2 linked regions of the Struthio camelus genome follow. The protein of the gene in region 1 purifies or fractionates together with the protein of each later gene. This does not show direct contact. Links are inferred from orthologs where the notes say so. Each region holds a gene or a part of one and is shown in the gene's direction. Other genes may lie near its edges.

The links. Proteins that work in one complex are often made in the same cells at the same time.
Region 2: the proteins of NMNAT2 (region 1) and FBXO45 purify together in Homo sapiens (co-immunoprecipitation; 3 studies listed by BioGRID and IntAct, with this or other methods). This does not show direct contact. The link is inferred for Struthio camelus from reciprocal best matches to the Homo sapiens genes NMNAT2 and FBXO45.

Annotation. Positions count from the first base shown.
Region 1 is NC_090949.1:4,499,616-4,506,702, forward strand, and holds the start of NMNAT2 (nicotinamide/nicotinic acid mononucleotide adenylyltransferase 2), read left to right. Parts: upstream 1-4,023; 5' UTR 4,024-4,153; coding exon 4,154-4,238; intron 4,239-7,087.
Region 2 is NC_090950.1:2,495,531-2,503,424, forward strand, and holds the start of FBXO45 (F-box/SPRY domain-containing protein 1), read left to right. Parts: upstream 1-4,838; coding exon 4,839-5,108; intron 5,109-5,299; coding exon 5,300-5,656; intron 5,657-7,695; coding exon 7,696-7,881; 3' UTR 7,882-7,894. Other genes in the region: WDR53 (WD repeat-containing protein 53), read right to left, coding at 1,772-2,248. UniProt on the Homo sapiens protein: Component of E3 ubiquitin ligase complex consisting of FBXO45, MYCBP2 and SKP1. Functions in substrate recognition but also plays an important role in assembly of the complex.

The DNA of each region.
Region 1 (7,087 bases):
GAGTGACTCCCCATTTCAAGGAGATCTTCAGTCTCAAGAAAAGAGAATTGTAAATGTGGGTTGTTGCAGTACAGAAATTCCTAGGGTTACAGGGCTGGCTTTTGGGCATCAGAGCTTCATGGAAATCCTCCAGACAGGAAGACTCTGAATTGTGCGGGCAGTGATTTCATGACTAGTTTAAGCCCCTCTGACTCCTTGGGCTAGACCTAGCAATCACATGGCTGTGGGGCAATCAGGCAAAAGGACTAGATTGCAGTGTTCTGGTTGTTAGTGCCAGTGGCAGTGAGAGGGAAGGCAAGGAAGGGGGAGGACATCAGTGCTCAGGTCCGGCTGCAATATAGAGAGACCATCGTTCTTCCGTTTTGCCCTCTGTCTGACCTAATGCACAAACTCAAATCACAGGTAGCCACTTGCCACCGCGGCGCAGGCTGGAGCCCAAATCATGTGGGAGTCTCCGGGCACTCTCGCAGCACAAATAATCACAGACAGCATGGACCAGCAGGACATGAGAATGGTGCTTCTGGTGAGTGTTTGCTCATTGGACCAGCACAACTGGTTCCTACCACAGGGGTTGTCTGTCCTTCGTTGCGTCCCTGCAGTTTTGTTCACAGGTGTGAAATTTGCGCCTACAAGCTTTTCGGTGCCCGTCCCTGTGGGTGTCGTGCCTGGGTCTAGCTGATCCACTGCGCTGATCCACCTCGCTGATCCTTGCATGCGTCATTCCAGCACCAAGACCTGCTTCACTTCACTCAGCCCCACTCGGGTCTCCCCATCTCTACTTTGTCCTGCAGCCGTGGCACCTGATGCTCCTACGGCTGCAGGTAGTCCAACTTATGGAAAGCTAAAGGGAAAATACCCTCCCTGCAAGTGTTTCCCATGCAAAATTAGTGGGGAATGGGCTGAGGTCAAAAAGTATTTTTCAAGTGTCTTGCCAGAACTGCGATCTCTTTTCTTCAGAAGGAGTCAGTGAAGGAGTCTCTTAGTAAAAGCCAAAATCCCACATTTCATATCAGATCTCTTAACGCAAAGCAGCATCGCTACGTGTCTCCAGCCTTGACAGCAGCACCTGCCTTTCCTGCCAGAGTGGGACAGTCAGTCAAAGCCAGCTGCAGTTAAAACAGGGCTCAGCTATGGGGACTCTTGCTGTCATCATACCAATAAGCCTTAAAACTGTAACACGAGCTCTTTGCGCTGGGACCCTCGGCAACAGCAACGCTTTCTGAGACAGAGTATCCCAAACATACATAGCTGAAAAATGAACGTAGCATTCAAGAACGCTGGCAATATCCCATGCTTCACTAGGTCCAGCTTCTCATTTTTGTTGCAGTCTCTGCTCGCTTCTCTGCTCACTTGTGCTCCTCCTGCCTCCTTGCCCTTCACGTGGCCAGCACGTGGCTCGGCTCGGGCTCCCTGCCTTGCCTGTGATGAGCTGAGCTGCACCTCTGCAGGGTCCAGGCTCTGTGCTTAGAAGCCACGCAGCTGCGCTCCCATATGACCAAGGTTGCAATGGTTGGAGGGAGCAACGGCTGCTACCTCAGCTAGAGACACTAGAGTGTTCCTGTTAAAGGAAGAAAAAATCGGTATGTTATTAAATCAGTATGGGGAGAGAAAACACTAAAACGACCCCCCCCCCTCCAACCTTTCATCAGTTCTCCAGTGCAGGAAAGATTATCAGCACTGCATTTTTTTAAGCACAGGGAGGTCCACATGCCATTTCTTAGCCTGATTTCCTACAGAAAAGAAGCTAATGCAGTCATGCTTCCTGTCCCTCCAGCTGTGTATTAGTCTTCACAGGTAGCTTTTGAACCTGTTGGCCAATTTGCAACAAAATTGGAGAAAAATTGGAGTTTTGTGAAAACAGAGAGAAGAGACATACACATGCACACACAGAGGGCCAGTCGGCATGTGCTGCCTCTTGCCCCAGCATATGTAGGGGACGTGGGAGGGCCCGAGCGGCCTGCAGCATTTTGGGAGGGAGGAGAACAAGCGAAGGAGGAGTGAGGTCCTGGGGGCGCCCAGTGGGAAACACCAGTCATCGCCAGGGTATGGACACGGTACATGGTGCCAGAAGGAAGCAGCCCCCAGGAGAGCCTCTGCTCGCTCTGTGGCACCACCGAAGCTTCCCAGCCCCGTAGCACCAAAGAGGCAAAGGAGAGTTTGTCTGATTATTCGTGTTTTTCTGGCCTCATCGATTTGTGACAGAGCTCTTCAGCTCCGCCACAGCAAGAGCAGGAGGCGGAGCCCAGGCCCTGGTTTCCCAAGGAGCACAGTGCCTGCGTGCACAGTGCACCCATCTCACCAGCCAGGCACCTCGCAAGCCCTGGGTGATGCCTTCATCACATCCTGGTGATACTCTCACGTATCTCCCTATGATGCCCTCCTATATCACTAGATGAGGCCTTCTTGGATACCTTGGTGTATGGTTTCTGAGAAAGCAAAAGGGATCAGCGAGGGAAGTAGTGCTGTAGCTCTGCAAACCCAACGTGCAATCTTTTTGCATCTTATGCTCCCTGTGTTTTAGAGGATTTTTCATGAAGGCATTTTAGAAAGCGCATGGCTCTCCCCTGTTGGGAGAGTTAAGAGACCTCAACCTTGGCTGTGTGTCCCTCATCGCTACAGGCTGGGGGCCCTGACTCCGCTCCCAGCACCCTGCTCTCTGCCGACCGTATTCCCTGCTCCTCCTAAACGTTCCCTATGACCCCGTATTCCCATGAGGCCGTACAAGAGATACACCGACTTCAGTCTCACAAGCTGCTCGTCACGAGTGGACTGCTCACTCGCGGGCCTCAGTTTGTGGGAATTTGGCAAACATGACACGTGCTATTAATGCACGAGCAGCTCCAGGGAGGGGCTGCTTCTGCAGAGCTGACGCACGGTGACCGATCCAAGCCTGGTGCGTGGCTCCGACACCCGGGGTGCCTGCGCATCCCCACTTCTGCACGTGGCAAACGGCCTCAACTCGGCTTTGCTGGCCCTGGGAGCTGGAGAAACAGCAGATTTTAATAATCACAACCTCAACACGGGTGGCACGGCTACTTTAGGTAATATAGAGAGCCTTAAAGAATGTCCTCTTTTTCTGATGTCGTTCTGAGGCTTATACACGACAATTAAAGTCTGTGGATTTGAAGGCAAGGTTATACTGAATGCCGTGCCAGCGTCAAACTGCAGAGCCGCAACTTCTGCTAAAGTAGCAAATCTCTACCCTGGGGTGGTGGCTAGGAGGAACAGCACAAAAACGCCCTAACACAAAACCCCAAATCTCTTCCCATATTCTGAACCATCGAACGTCCTTACATAGCTAGTAAGAAGGTATATCACCACTTTGGAGAAAACACAAAAACGTGTCATACTTTTCCTGACTTGACGTTGCTTCTTCGTTTATTTATTACCATTTACCTCACGTAGACAACGGAAAAGGGACCCTGCGGAGCTGGCGCAGGTACCCACCCCGGGCAGGGCTGCGAGCGGGGCTGCTGTTCTCCCCTAGCCGAGCTCACCCTCACCCGGCACGGACCCGGCCCGGCCGTAGCGTCAACGTGCCCGTTGTCTTGGGTCGTGTTTGGTTTTGAGAATAACGCCGAGAGTCAACCTCTACGAATGCAGATAACTTCATGTTTGCAACAGCAAGCTCCCCCGCCCGGATTTCCACTGGTGATTGTGCAGAATCCCCTTAAGGGGTTTTGCTGCTGGTGACGGACGGACGTTTATGGGCAAAAGGTTGAGCTGAGGAGCCGGAAGGAAACGACCGGCCAGAGCGGGCGGAAGGGGAGGCCGAGCACCCCGCGGCCACGAAAAGGTCCTTGCAGGGCGCTTGGGGGGCGGGGGGGGGGGGGGACACGCAAAAGGGGGTTGTGGCACCTGAGCACCCTGCGCGCCCCTGCGGGTGCCCCCAGGCCCTGCGGTGCGCGCGCCCGCGGGCGCGCACGGCTGTGAGCGTGTGCGGCTGCAGGGGCGCGTGCCCGGCGGGGCGGGGCGGCTCGGGCCGCGCTCCCGCAGCCGCGGCGCCGCCTCCCTCCCTCCCTCCCTCCCTCCCTCCGTCCCTCGCTCCGTCCCTCGCTCGCTCCCTCCCGCCGCAGCCGCACCGAGACACAAAAAGCGGCTGGGGCTGGGGCTGGGCAGGGCCGGGCCGGGCCGGGCGGCGGCGGCCGGCACCATGACGGAGACCACCAAGACGCACGTTATCCTGCTGGCCTGCGGCAGCTTCAACCCCATCACCAAGGGCCACATCCAGATGTTCGGTGAGATGTGCGCGGAGGGAGGCGGCGGCGGCGGCGGCGGGAGGGGGGGGGGCGGCGGCTCCGCGCCGGCTGCCGCAGCGCCCGGCCGCGCCGGGGCGGCCGCTGTCCGCGGTGCTGAAGCGCGGCCGGGCCGGGCCCGGGGGCGCCGCCGCGGGCTGAGCGGCCTCCGCAGCCCCCAGCACAAACGCGGGCGTGCGCTTGACAGAGCCCCAATTCCCCAGTGGTTTTTTTTTTTTTTTCCGCTGATAACGCCGAAAGGGATCAGAAAGGCTCGCTGGAGCTGATTGCCCCCACCCCCCTCCCCCAAAAAAAGGGGCGACGATCTGAGCGACCGGCGCTGGTAAAAGCGTTGCCTACGGCCAGCTCGGGAGGGCACGCTGCTGAAGGCGGCCTGACGTGTCGTAGATACTGATGGGGCTTGACGCGCCTAGAGAGCCGCATACGAGCAGCAACTTACCTGGCGGGGTCCTCTGCTACAGACCGCCAAAGAAAATGGCAGGGCAAGGGCCAGTTCCTGCAACCTCTCTTGCAAAGTGCAGCGCGAGGAACCACCCTCGAGTCCGATAGGAAATTTCAGTCTGGGGAGCGGATGCTGAAGGTCTGTCTCATGCTACAGCCCGAGAAGCACCTCTCGGATTTCTAGAAGTTGTAGATAAGTTCCTAAACGCAAAAAAAATTTGATGTCAGTGTGAGGTATTTCTGTGTCATACCTTATTTTCATAGCTCGCAATGAGTTGGTCACCAGGCTAAAAAATGATGGCTTTCCAGATGCAGATGATCACGTTGCAATTTCATTTCTCATAAGAGCAAGCAAAATGTGGTCCTGGACAACAATATACTTGAAATGTCAAAAATTCCTTTTCTCTAAGCTAAAAACAGTCGTGAGCAAAAAAGAATGAGAGGAATTATTTAAAAATCAAAAAGTAATTAAATGAAATTACAGGCTTGGCTGACAGAGGTAGCTATTGATAAAACAGATTTCTATAATTCACGTTAGTTAGAGACATTCTGATTAAGAAAAGTAGCACTCTAAAAAAATCAATGCAGCCCATATTCAATGAACTAAAACCCAGTAACAACATATATTTTAGAAAAAAATGATCAGGGAGGTATTGGTATGCAGCGGATGTTTTTAGTAGACTCACGATGAGGCTTGGTTTTGGCTCAGTGCAGTTCAGTACCTGTATCAACAACCTGGAAGAAAATACACAATCACTGCTGGTAAAACGTGCCCACGACCCCAAAGTGGGTAGAGCGGCAGTTAGTGAAGGTAACTCGTCAGTTGTACCAGCTGTCTTGGACTGTTTGATTAAAAAGGTCTTTGAGTTCAAACAGCCAGACGAGAAATCATGTCCAGCAGCAATCAGGCATGTCGCACGTAACAGACAGGCAAATGTCTTCTGCAGAGCAGCGGCTGTGGAAAGGGCTGAGGAGTAGTGGTGTGTGGCCCATGGAATACAGCCCTCCCCCCACCCCCGCCCTGTGACGCCGTAAATAAAGTGGTAAATGCAATCCTTTGTATGCGAGCAGGGGAACATTAAGCGGAAGAAGAAAGGTTGCATTATTTTTATACCCAGCATTAGCAAAACCCTTCCTGGACTAACAGGAACTAGAATTACATTAGCTCCGGAAACCAGGCCTTTTACAGCAAAAGGCGAAGGAAGCTTAGTCTGGATCCACAAAAGATGTTCAGCAGTGACTCGATCACGGCCTACGTGTATCAGCGTGGAGGAGGGACATGTGAGAGAAGGGGGCTCTTTTATCCAGTAGAGGAAGGGAGAAGGAGATCGAGATCCCACGCAGCTTCAGGCTAGGAAGGGGCTCTGTGTTTCTGAGTGAAGCTACTCAACTAGGAGAACAACGTTCTTCGGTACCTGCTGGACTCCCCGACACCTGAAGACTCTAGATCAAGCCTCAGATGTCAGGAAATCATGTTTTAGCTTAAAGAGGATGGCCTGACGCAGAAATTATCTGCCCCTTCATCCTGTAGAGATCCTGGAACGTATGAGTCTTGAGATATCCGATAGGGACAAACGAGTCTTCTGCGAGGAACGGATCCAGAATCTAGCTTTTAAATCCCTGCTCATTTTTATTTAAGGAAGCCCCTGCCCCCACGTCTAAAAGACTAACCACGTGAGGACAGGAGAATCTGGACCAAAACGTGTGATGTGCCTTCAGCTCTGTGCTGTATGAGCCCAGTCAACACAGGGCTCTTTCCTGTAAACGCAGTATTGCAAACAGCTGAACACGTGCAAAGGTACTGCCTTTCTCTCTCTCTGACAAAATACGTGGGCTCCATAAGCCTGATAGGAGGAATTTTTGCTTTAAGATAAAGAGATAGCATTTAGCAATTTAACACATGACACCAGTTAAGCAAAAGAGAAAGTACAGGGCAGTTGCAATCGTGTGCCATCGCTGACATGTCGTTGTATGCCAACGGTCGTTTTTCTCAGTTTGGATCTCGTCGTATTTTATTCAGGCCAAATCCCGACCTATGCCCATAGGAGCTTTGTGTGACGTGAACTAGATCGGTATTTGGAAGTCTTTTCTAATGGACGGAAGGTTTCTGCTGCGTTATTTTTACCAGTCATGTGAATTTAAGGCTCGGGATCAGCATTACTCTTGGGTTTCCAGAAAGCTGGGGTTTGTTACAAGCCCGGACCCCAGACTCCCGCTGCATGCCCTTGCACCCTCGCATCCATGTGGCGTCCCACTTACTCCATCCTTTGCTCACGACGAGCCTGAGGCACTAATGCTCGCCAAAGGAGTCTGTTTCAAGTCTCTGCGTATATATAATAAATAAAAAAAACAGTAATTAATATACAAAAATACATAATAGAAACGCAGGT
Region 2 (7,894 bases), on another chromosome or scaffold:
TCGGCAGCATAGAGCAAATTAGAGAGGCCGGGTCTAATGCTTAAGGCAAACAGTCCCATTCTCATCTTTGATAGCGCTGCAAGAGCTTTAGCAAATACATCTGGATTAAGTGGTAAAGCACCCAAACAGTAACAAGCTTTCTGAAAAGCAAGTATCTTACTTATTACAGCTCAGCTTCTCTGTGAAATGGTATATCCTAAAGACAGCCTTGATGTCTGTAGAAATGCTCTTTTCATTGTACAAAAATGCTCATAAATGTCTACTATTTTGGGGGTACTGACTTTCACGTAAAACCTAATTTGCCTATAGTAAAACACACTACAACTAAAAATGTCACAGAAAATAACTAGTTTTCTCACGCTGAAATCTGATATAAATGATTAAAATTCTGATAAAAAGTTTCTAGCCATAGGCTTGTGAATTGGCACGTAGGGTACCTGAAAATACATAACCATTTTAAGGTGCCAAGCATTTACTGCTCTCAAACTGATATTTTGGTATCTCTGAAAAAGAAGTTTCCCAAAGTACTTCATTTAAGATTCTATATCCATCTTTTAGCCAACTGTGTTTGAAGATCTGTCAAAGTCAAAATTTGGAAAACTTCTATTAATCAGCCTCTATTCAACTATATCTACTTACTGAATTTATATAAACCCTGGTCTTAATATGGAAAAATATCACCTATATCAAAATGCATTCACCCTAACTGATGTCAGAGGTACTTTAGTTTTAAGAACACAGGATGAAATTGCTTACAGCTGTCAAAGAAAAATCCATCTTTAACACCACTAAAATCACGGAAACCTTTGGAGAACTGGTAGTTCTAATCTCAGGTATTTTTCTTCTATTGGACACCTTAAGAGGAATCCGTAAAACGGTGTTCTGAAACAGAGAAGACTGCTTATGTCTTTGCAATATTGCATTCTCATCAGATGGAAACTGGATTTTGCAGTGCTTGGTGGTCTCCAGTGAACTGTGCAGACAAGAAGGGGAAAAACAACACCCAAGCATTTCCCCACTCTACAACAGGAAAGTGGTCACACGTCAACCACGGGGAAGTAATTACAAAAAAAAATCTGCTTTGGGTGATATTGGGTGCCAACTTTGACAGTGTAACTCAACATTCCACTAACTCTAGCATGGTTCAGTGTTTCTTCTAAAAATGCTCTTTAGGAGCACGCAAATGACAAAATTTCCACTTGAGGAAGGTAAAAAGGAAAAGTACATTTAACACTTTCAAGATGATACTGTGAACAAAGGATAAAAAATAAATTTATAAAAATAACTTTAATCCTTACAGTGGTACATACCACTTGGATAGATATTTATCTATCTATATTAAAGTATTCTTGCTAGCACCTTGTCAGCTTCAAGTATTTTGCATTTTCCTAACTACCATCAAAATTTTGTTTGCAGCCGTAATTGATCGCTAGAGACAGCCTGTGTTTTTGCTCTGTGAAACAGAGAGGTGATGCAGTTGCCCCATCTTCTGATGCCCTCCCCCTCACTTCTATATTGTAACTATTAATGAAGACAAAAATCGCAAGACTAACTGCTGAGCAGAAAACAGCATTAATAGTCTCAACACTGTTAGCTTCTCTGCCAAAACTACTTTAGGAAAGTTAAAGAGCTTTCCACTGGCTGCAGGCTGTACGACTCTCCCTCTTGTTCTGTGGAAGTGTGGTGAAAGTGTGTTGGGGCCTCACTACACACACGTGTAGTTTCTGTTTAGCTTCTCTAATAACCATATGTCTACTTTTATGCAAATCACCTGCATGTCCAGTCCACAGGAAAGAAGGCTTTGTGGCCTCTGAGGTCGAAAGACAACAGAGGAGCAGATATTTGAGTGTCTCAAGGACCGGCTGACTTTCTTGTTTTCTAAGTCTATAATCTTTATTGTCCCAGAATCATCTGCTGCAGCCAAGAAATTGTCAGTCTCGTTCACTGAAAGGCAACTGATCTCCTCCTCGTTCACTTGGAAGCATTCAGTAGGCTCCTTAAGAGATCGAACATCCAGCAAACTGATAGTTTCTCCATGGGAAGTGTACAGCCTGGTAGGACAGGTGGGAGAGAACACAACAGAGGTAACATCATCTGCCTTACAAAGCTGGAGCTGTCCTACTGGAATGCCTTTTCCATCCCAGATGGTGAGCTCGCCTCTTTCTGCTCCTGAAGCTACCAGCCCTTCCTTGTTTATGTTCAGGCACAGTATAGAGGAGGAATGCCCATCAGTCCATTTGACTGCCATATTTCAGGGCCACCTGTGAAACAAACAAACGGAAAACTGAATTGAGCTGGAGTTGTTCTCATTACGATGTAAAGCTTACCTAAGAAGTGAGATTATTGGGTTGACTCAGTCACACACACCAGATGAAACTCTAGTGTCCAGTGAAAACAGACACCTCTATAGGTAAGTACCCAGGTGGAAGCTTTGGCTCAAGCATTATCAACAGACTACATCAGCAACAACATAATGGGTTGGTAGAAGTGATCGCATATGTGCTTGTGAAGGACATGAATTAGATCTGCTGCTCTGAAGTAGCTACCTAAGTGGGGGTTGCTTTCTCTGCCATTTCTTTGCAGTGAATATGGATATAGTGTGTCTGACGAACTAGGGGCACAGTTTCAAGGGGGGCTTACTGGAAAGGAGAAAGGGGAAGATTGTTACAGTTTGCAGAGAAGTCCTACTGTTCCAGTCTGTGTGAGGGCAACCACATATGAACATACCTTTTATCCAGGTATGGATATGCTAGATAATCAATATCCAACATTAATTTGTAAAGCAACCTTGTAATACCTGGAGTAAAAAAACTTGTGCTGGTGAAAGGGGGATAAACTGATTAATGCTGAAGTGACTACTTTAATTATGGTTTAAAAGCATACATTAGTATGAATAAATTTTAAACTGTTTTGCATGTGTACTTCGTGTTCCCAAACTGAAGTTAATTCTCACTTGACTGGTAAACACTAAAGCATATTTGCCTAAACAGACATACAGTAACACAAGGTGTGTTTGAAAAAAATATCAGCAGTTTAACAAAAGTAGTTACACTGTTTACTGCACATTTACTAGGGTCTTAAAGCAGCATACATTCAGCTTACTGTGCTCCTGGCCCTTTCCTGTGCACTAGCCCATGATAAGACAGTTTAGGGAGCCATGCCAGCAGAAAATGAAATGGGGCGGGGGGAAGGAGGAAGGGAGGGAGAAAAGCAACACAAAAACACAGCAGGTTTGAGCTTGCTTAGCTCCCTGAACCAGCTCACAAGGGCAAAGGAGAGCTAGTACCTGTGCAAGGGAGTAGACACAACATGGGGTTTGCAGGATGGAACTACGGCTGGATGCCAGTGAGCTTAAGTTACCATAGAGCATACTGTAACATTTACCTTTTTATTACATCAGAAAGCAATGAGTGAAGTACTCCTTTTTGTACTATGCTACTTTTTTTGTGTATGTAATTTTTATTCAGCTGGATTTGAAGAGTAGTTAAAATTGATTCTATCCACCGACAGAATTTCAATCTTCTTGATTAAATGAAATTACCCAAAGTGCCAGCTATGTTGTTAGCAAATGATGTTCCTGTATTCAGGAAGTTGAGAAAATTATTTCTGGTTACCCTCTCCCACACTGTGGGACCTAGTACATCTCACTGATATATCTAGTTTCTGGCTTTACAGGAAGAAAACCTTCTCCCAGTTGGTTTCTCAGCTTTTGAATAAACGAGTTATTGAAATAGAATTAGCTCATAATACAGTTAAAAATATGTTTGTATGGCTAGATAAAAGTACTGCTGTCAGTGGCTGTTCCACTGTTACAAGAAACTCTGCTTGCAGTTGCTTACACAGCAAGTTTAGTAAGTTAAAGTTTCAACAGTAAATACTGTGCTCACTGATTCTCTAACTCAATGCTTTTAATTATTTTAGGCCATTAATATAGGTTGACTGCTTAAAGGTAATACATTTTAAAAGGTGTATTTGAATCCAATGCCAGTCCTATTTATTTTAATGCAGTTGTATTCGTGTAGGGGCTCGCAGGGTTCCTGTACTACCAAGTCTGACACCCTGACACTGCCACAAGCAGAAGGAAAGAAAAACGGGGGGGGGGGGGGGCTGTAACCAGAACGAAGGAAGGAGCGTAGAGAGGAAACACCGGAGGATGCTGGGGAAACGCCAAGTCAGGGCAAGCGGAACGACGGGCAGCTGGGCGAGCCGCAGTGCCCGCGGCACGGGGGCGCGCCCCGCCTCGCCTCACCTCACCTCACCTCAGGGGCAACGGCCCCCGCGGCCGCGCGCAGGGCCGCACGGAGAGCGCGTCACGGCCAGACCGAGGGACTCAGAGCGCGGTCTTATTTTAAAAGCCGCCGGCTGGCGTTTCCAGTCACAGAAACTGCGGCGCTCTGCCTCGCGGTGCGGGAAAAGCCACCGGCCGGGCGCGGCCGCGCCGCCCCCAACCGCCGCGCAGGCCTCGCAGCCCCTTCCGCGCGGCGCCCTCACCTCCACCGGCCGCTCCCGCGCCCCGCCCCGCCCCGCGCATGCGCGGCCGCGGCCTCCGGCGGCGCTGCCCGCAGCCGTTATGGCGGCGCCGAGCGCGCGCGTCCCCTCCCCGTGAGGCCTGTGGCGGCGGCGGCGGCGGCAGAGCGGGGCGGGCGCTGGCGGCCGGCGCGCCTGCGGCCCGGGGCCCGCCGCCGCGCTCCGCCGCCCGCCCGCGCTTGCGGCCAGCGAAGCGGGGCGAGCCCGTCGTTTCCCGCCCCCTGCCCCGCGCTGTCGGCTCGCGCGAGGCCGGCCGGCGCGGCGCGGCCCTCGAGCCCCGGGCCCGGCGGGGGGCGCCGCCGCCTGAGGCGATGGCGGCGGGCGGCGCGGGCGGCGGCGGCGCGGCGGCGGCGCTGGCGGGGGGAGCGGGGTGGCGGCTGCCGGGGCGGGTGCTGGAGCTGGTGTTCTCCTACCTGGAGCTGCGGGAGCTGCGGAGCTGCGCCCTGGTCTGCAAGCTGTGGCACCGCGTCCTCCACGGCGACGAGAACAGCGAGGTGTGGCGCAGCCTGGCGGCCCGCTGCCTGGCGGAGGAGGCGCTGCGCACCGACATCCTCTGCAACGTGCCCACCTACAAGGGCAAGGTGGGTCGGCGGGGGAGCCGCGGGGCCTCCGCGGCCTGGGCTGGGCTGCGGGCCGTTGTGCGCCCCGCGTTAGGAGCCGGGCGGGGGGCGGGGGGGAAGACGGTCGATATTGCCCTGCCAGCGGCACCGCTAGAAGGGTTTGGATTGTCCCTTCCTGCCTGAACGCCCTCTCCCTTCCCCTTCTCTGCTAGGTACGTGCCTTTCACCACGCCTTTAGCACCAACGATTGCTCCAGGAACGTCTACATCAAGAAGAACGGCTTCACTTTGCACCGCAACCCCATCGCTCAGAGCACGGATGGGGCAAGGACCAAGATCGGCTTCAGCGAGGGCCGCCACGCGTGGGAAGTGTGGTGGGAGGGCCCGCTGGGCACCGTGGCTGTCATCGGCATTGCCACGAAGCGGGCTGCCATGCAGTGCCAGGGCTACGTGGCACTACTGGGGAGCGATGACCAGAGCTGGGGCTGGAATTTGGTGGACAATAATTTACTGCATAATGGAGAAGTGAACGGCAGTTTCCCTCAGTGCAATAACGCACCGAAATACCAGGTGGGTGAGACTTGGCGCAGGCTGGGAGCTTTACTGTCTCGAACAGCAGCTGTCCTCCAAGAATTTCTTCATAGCATGTAGTAGTTAGCTGCTTGCTGAATTGGTCTTAAGTGGTCATCTAGAGCAAAACGGTCCCTGCAGGAGGTAAATGATGGTGCCGTACAAGGGGTTTCCCCCTTAATGTTTCCTTCGATTATGTCTGTGTGTAATGTTCAGTACAACTCATTCTCTGTTGTTTCCCCTACTGAAGACAACAAATAAACTTTTATTTCAAATATGAAGTGAGGAACACACACTATGGGTGCTTATCTAAAGACAATTGCTTTTTGAAAAAGAAGCTGACGAGGCCATTCTGGCTATCTTAAGTAAAGATTTTGCCTGTCAGTGATATGACTGTGTGTGTGGTAGCTGTGTTATCTTTTTGTTACCCTGCAGTGGGAGTTGAAGTTAGTGCTTAGGTAAGAGTTTTCCTGCAAGAAAATGCAGTAATGCCGAGTGCTGTTTGTTTGCTCCCTGGCACTGTTCCTAAAGGTGACATCTTTAGGCTGGGATGTGATGTTCAGATAAATAGATGTTATTAAAGAGGAAGTGCCATTCTGTCTTTTTGTCCATATCAAAGTGGTTTACCTTTGCTCTCTTGGCCATCTGCACGATGGTTTGACTGCTAGATTTCCTCACGTTACAACTTCAGCCATGCGCAGTATAATGCCTGACTCATAATATCGAAGGTTTTGTACGAATGTTGACTCCAAAGCAGCTTGTATTTCAGTTGTGGGTGAAGATTTGCTTAGGAACTTGTATCTGATGTTCCTAAATTTCACATAAAGGCTCGCTGCCAAGCACTTGATCTGATTTGGTCTGAAGCTTGTACCTGCCATTTTTGCAAACAAAACCTAAAATGAGTGTTTTTAAAGAGATTTAGTTTGCTTTCTATTTGCATGTTTTTTAACATGCAAGTGCACTTTCCAGACTTGACCGTTTGTGGTCATTTTCTGCTGTCTGTATCTAGGCCTTTATGCAGCCACAGGGCAAGAAAAAGTTTTAGAGCCAGGAGAACTCTCATGTGGACTCGAGGGAGAACAGGTCTTGCACTTGCTTTTTTCTTTTTAAAAGTTGGTTAGAGCTCAGATTGGTGATCCTTTAAAGTACTTTATATGCAGTAAAACAAGCACAGTGAGCTGCTTGTATATAATACACTAAAAGTAACTATATGTTTGCTGGTGTTGGAAGAAAAATGTGTTGTTTTGAAGAAAATGCCAACGTTGCAGTTGGCTTGTGGAGAATCAGAAGTTTGTGCTGTATCATGTTGTGCTTGCTGCTGGTGTCTGTGACTTACCTTTACATTTGAAAAATATGTAGTAGGTGAATGCTGGGAGCATTGTGTATGTTGTGATCTGATTATCTTACTGCATTCAGTGTTCTTTTCATTCGTGTGTATATATATATTTAGGTTTTTCATACTTAATTTACCTAGGCTTTGCACTGTAATTTCTTTCTGCCCTTTCTACCAAGGAATCCCTCTGACGATGACAGTACTTGTATAGTCAGTAAAATATTCTGGTATAGTTTGTATGTTGCGCTTACCTGTTTTTAAACAGGTTCATTGTCTTTTAAAATTGCTCAGCACGGACATTACTGGTCAGTGATAGCAACCAAATGCAGGGTTTGGGTAACTTTGGGTGGAGGCCGTTACAAAACTTCCCCAAGCTGCAGAATTCTGAAGTAAATGGCATATGTTATGCTAACTCTCAGTGCTATTGTGATGTTCTGATGCAAAGGGCTACGTTTGTTACTCTGGTGGTTAGATATAGGTTGCCTATTGGAAACTGCCAGTACAGATGCTCAGAATCTTACGTGTATCAGTGAAATGGAGAAGTTCCACGGAAAAAGTAGTGCAATCTTGAGAAACAGGAAAACCTCCCTTTGAGGTGATCTGCTGTACTGTACACGGGCTTTGCTTTATTTTTCATGTCTCTATTTGAATATGTTGACTTTTTCTTTTGTTTTATTTTTCTTCCTCTTCTTATTTCTGTTTCCAGATAGGTGAAAGGATTCGAGTTATCCTGGACATGGAAGACAAAACGTTAGCGTTTGAGAGGGGCTATGAGTTTTTGGGAGTTGCATTCAGAGGACTGCCAAAAGTTTGCCTGTATCCAGCAGTGTCTGCTGTGTATGGTAACACGGAAGTGACTTTGGTGTACCTGGGAAAACCTCTGGATGGATGATGTGGATTGTTTC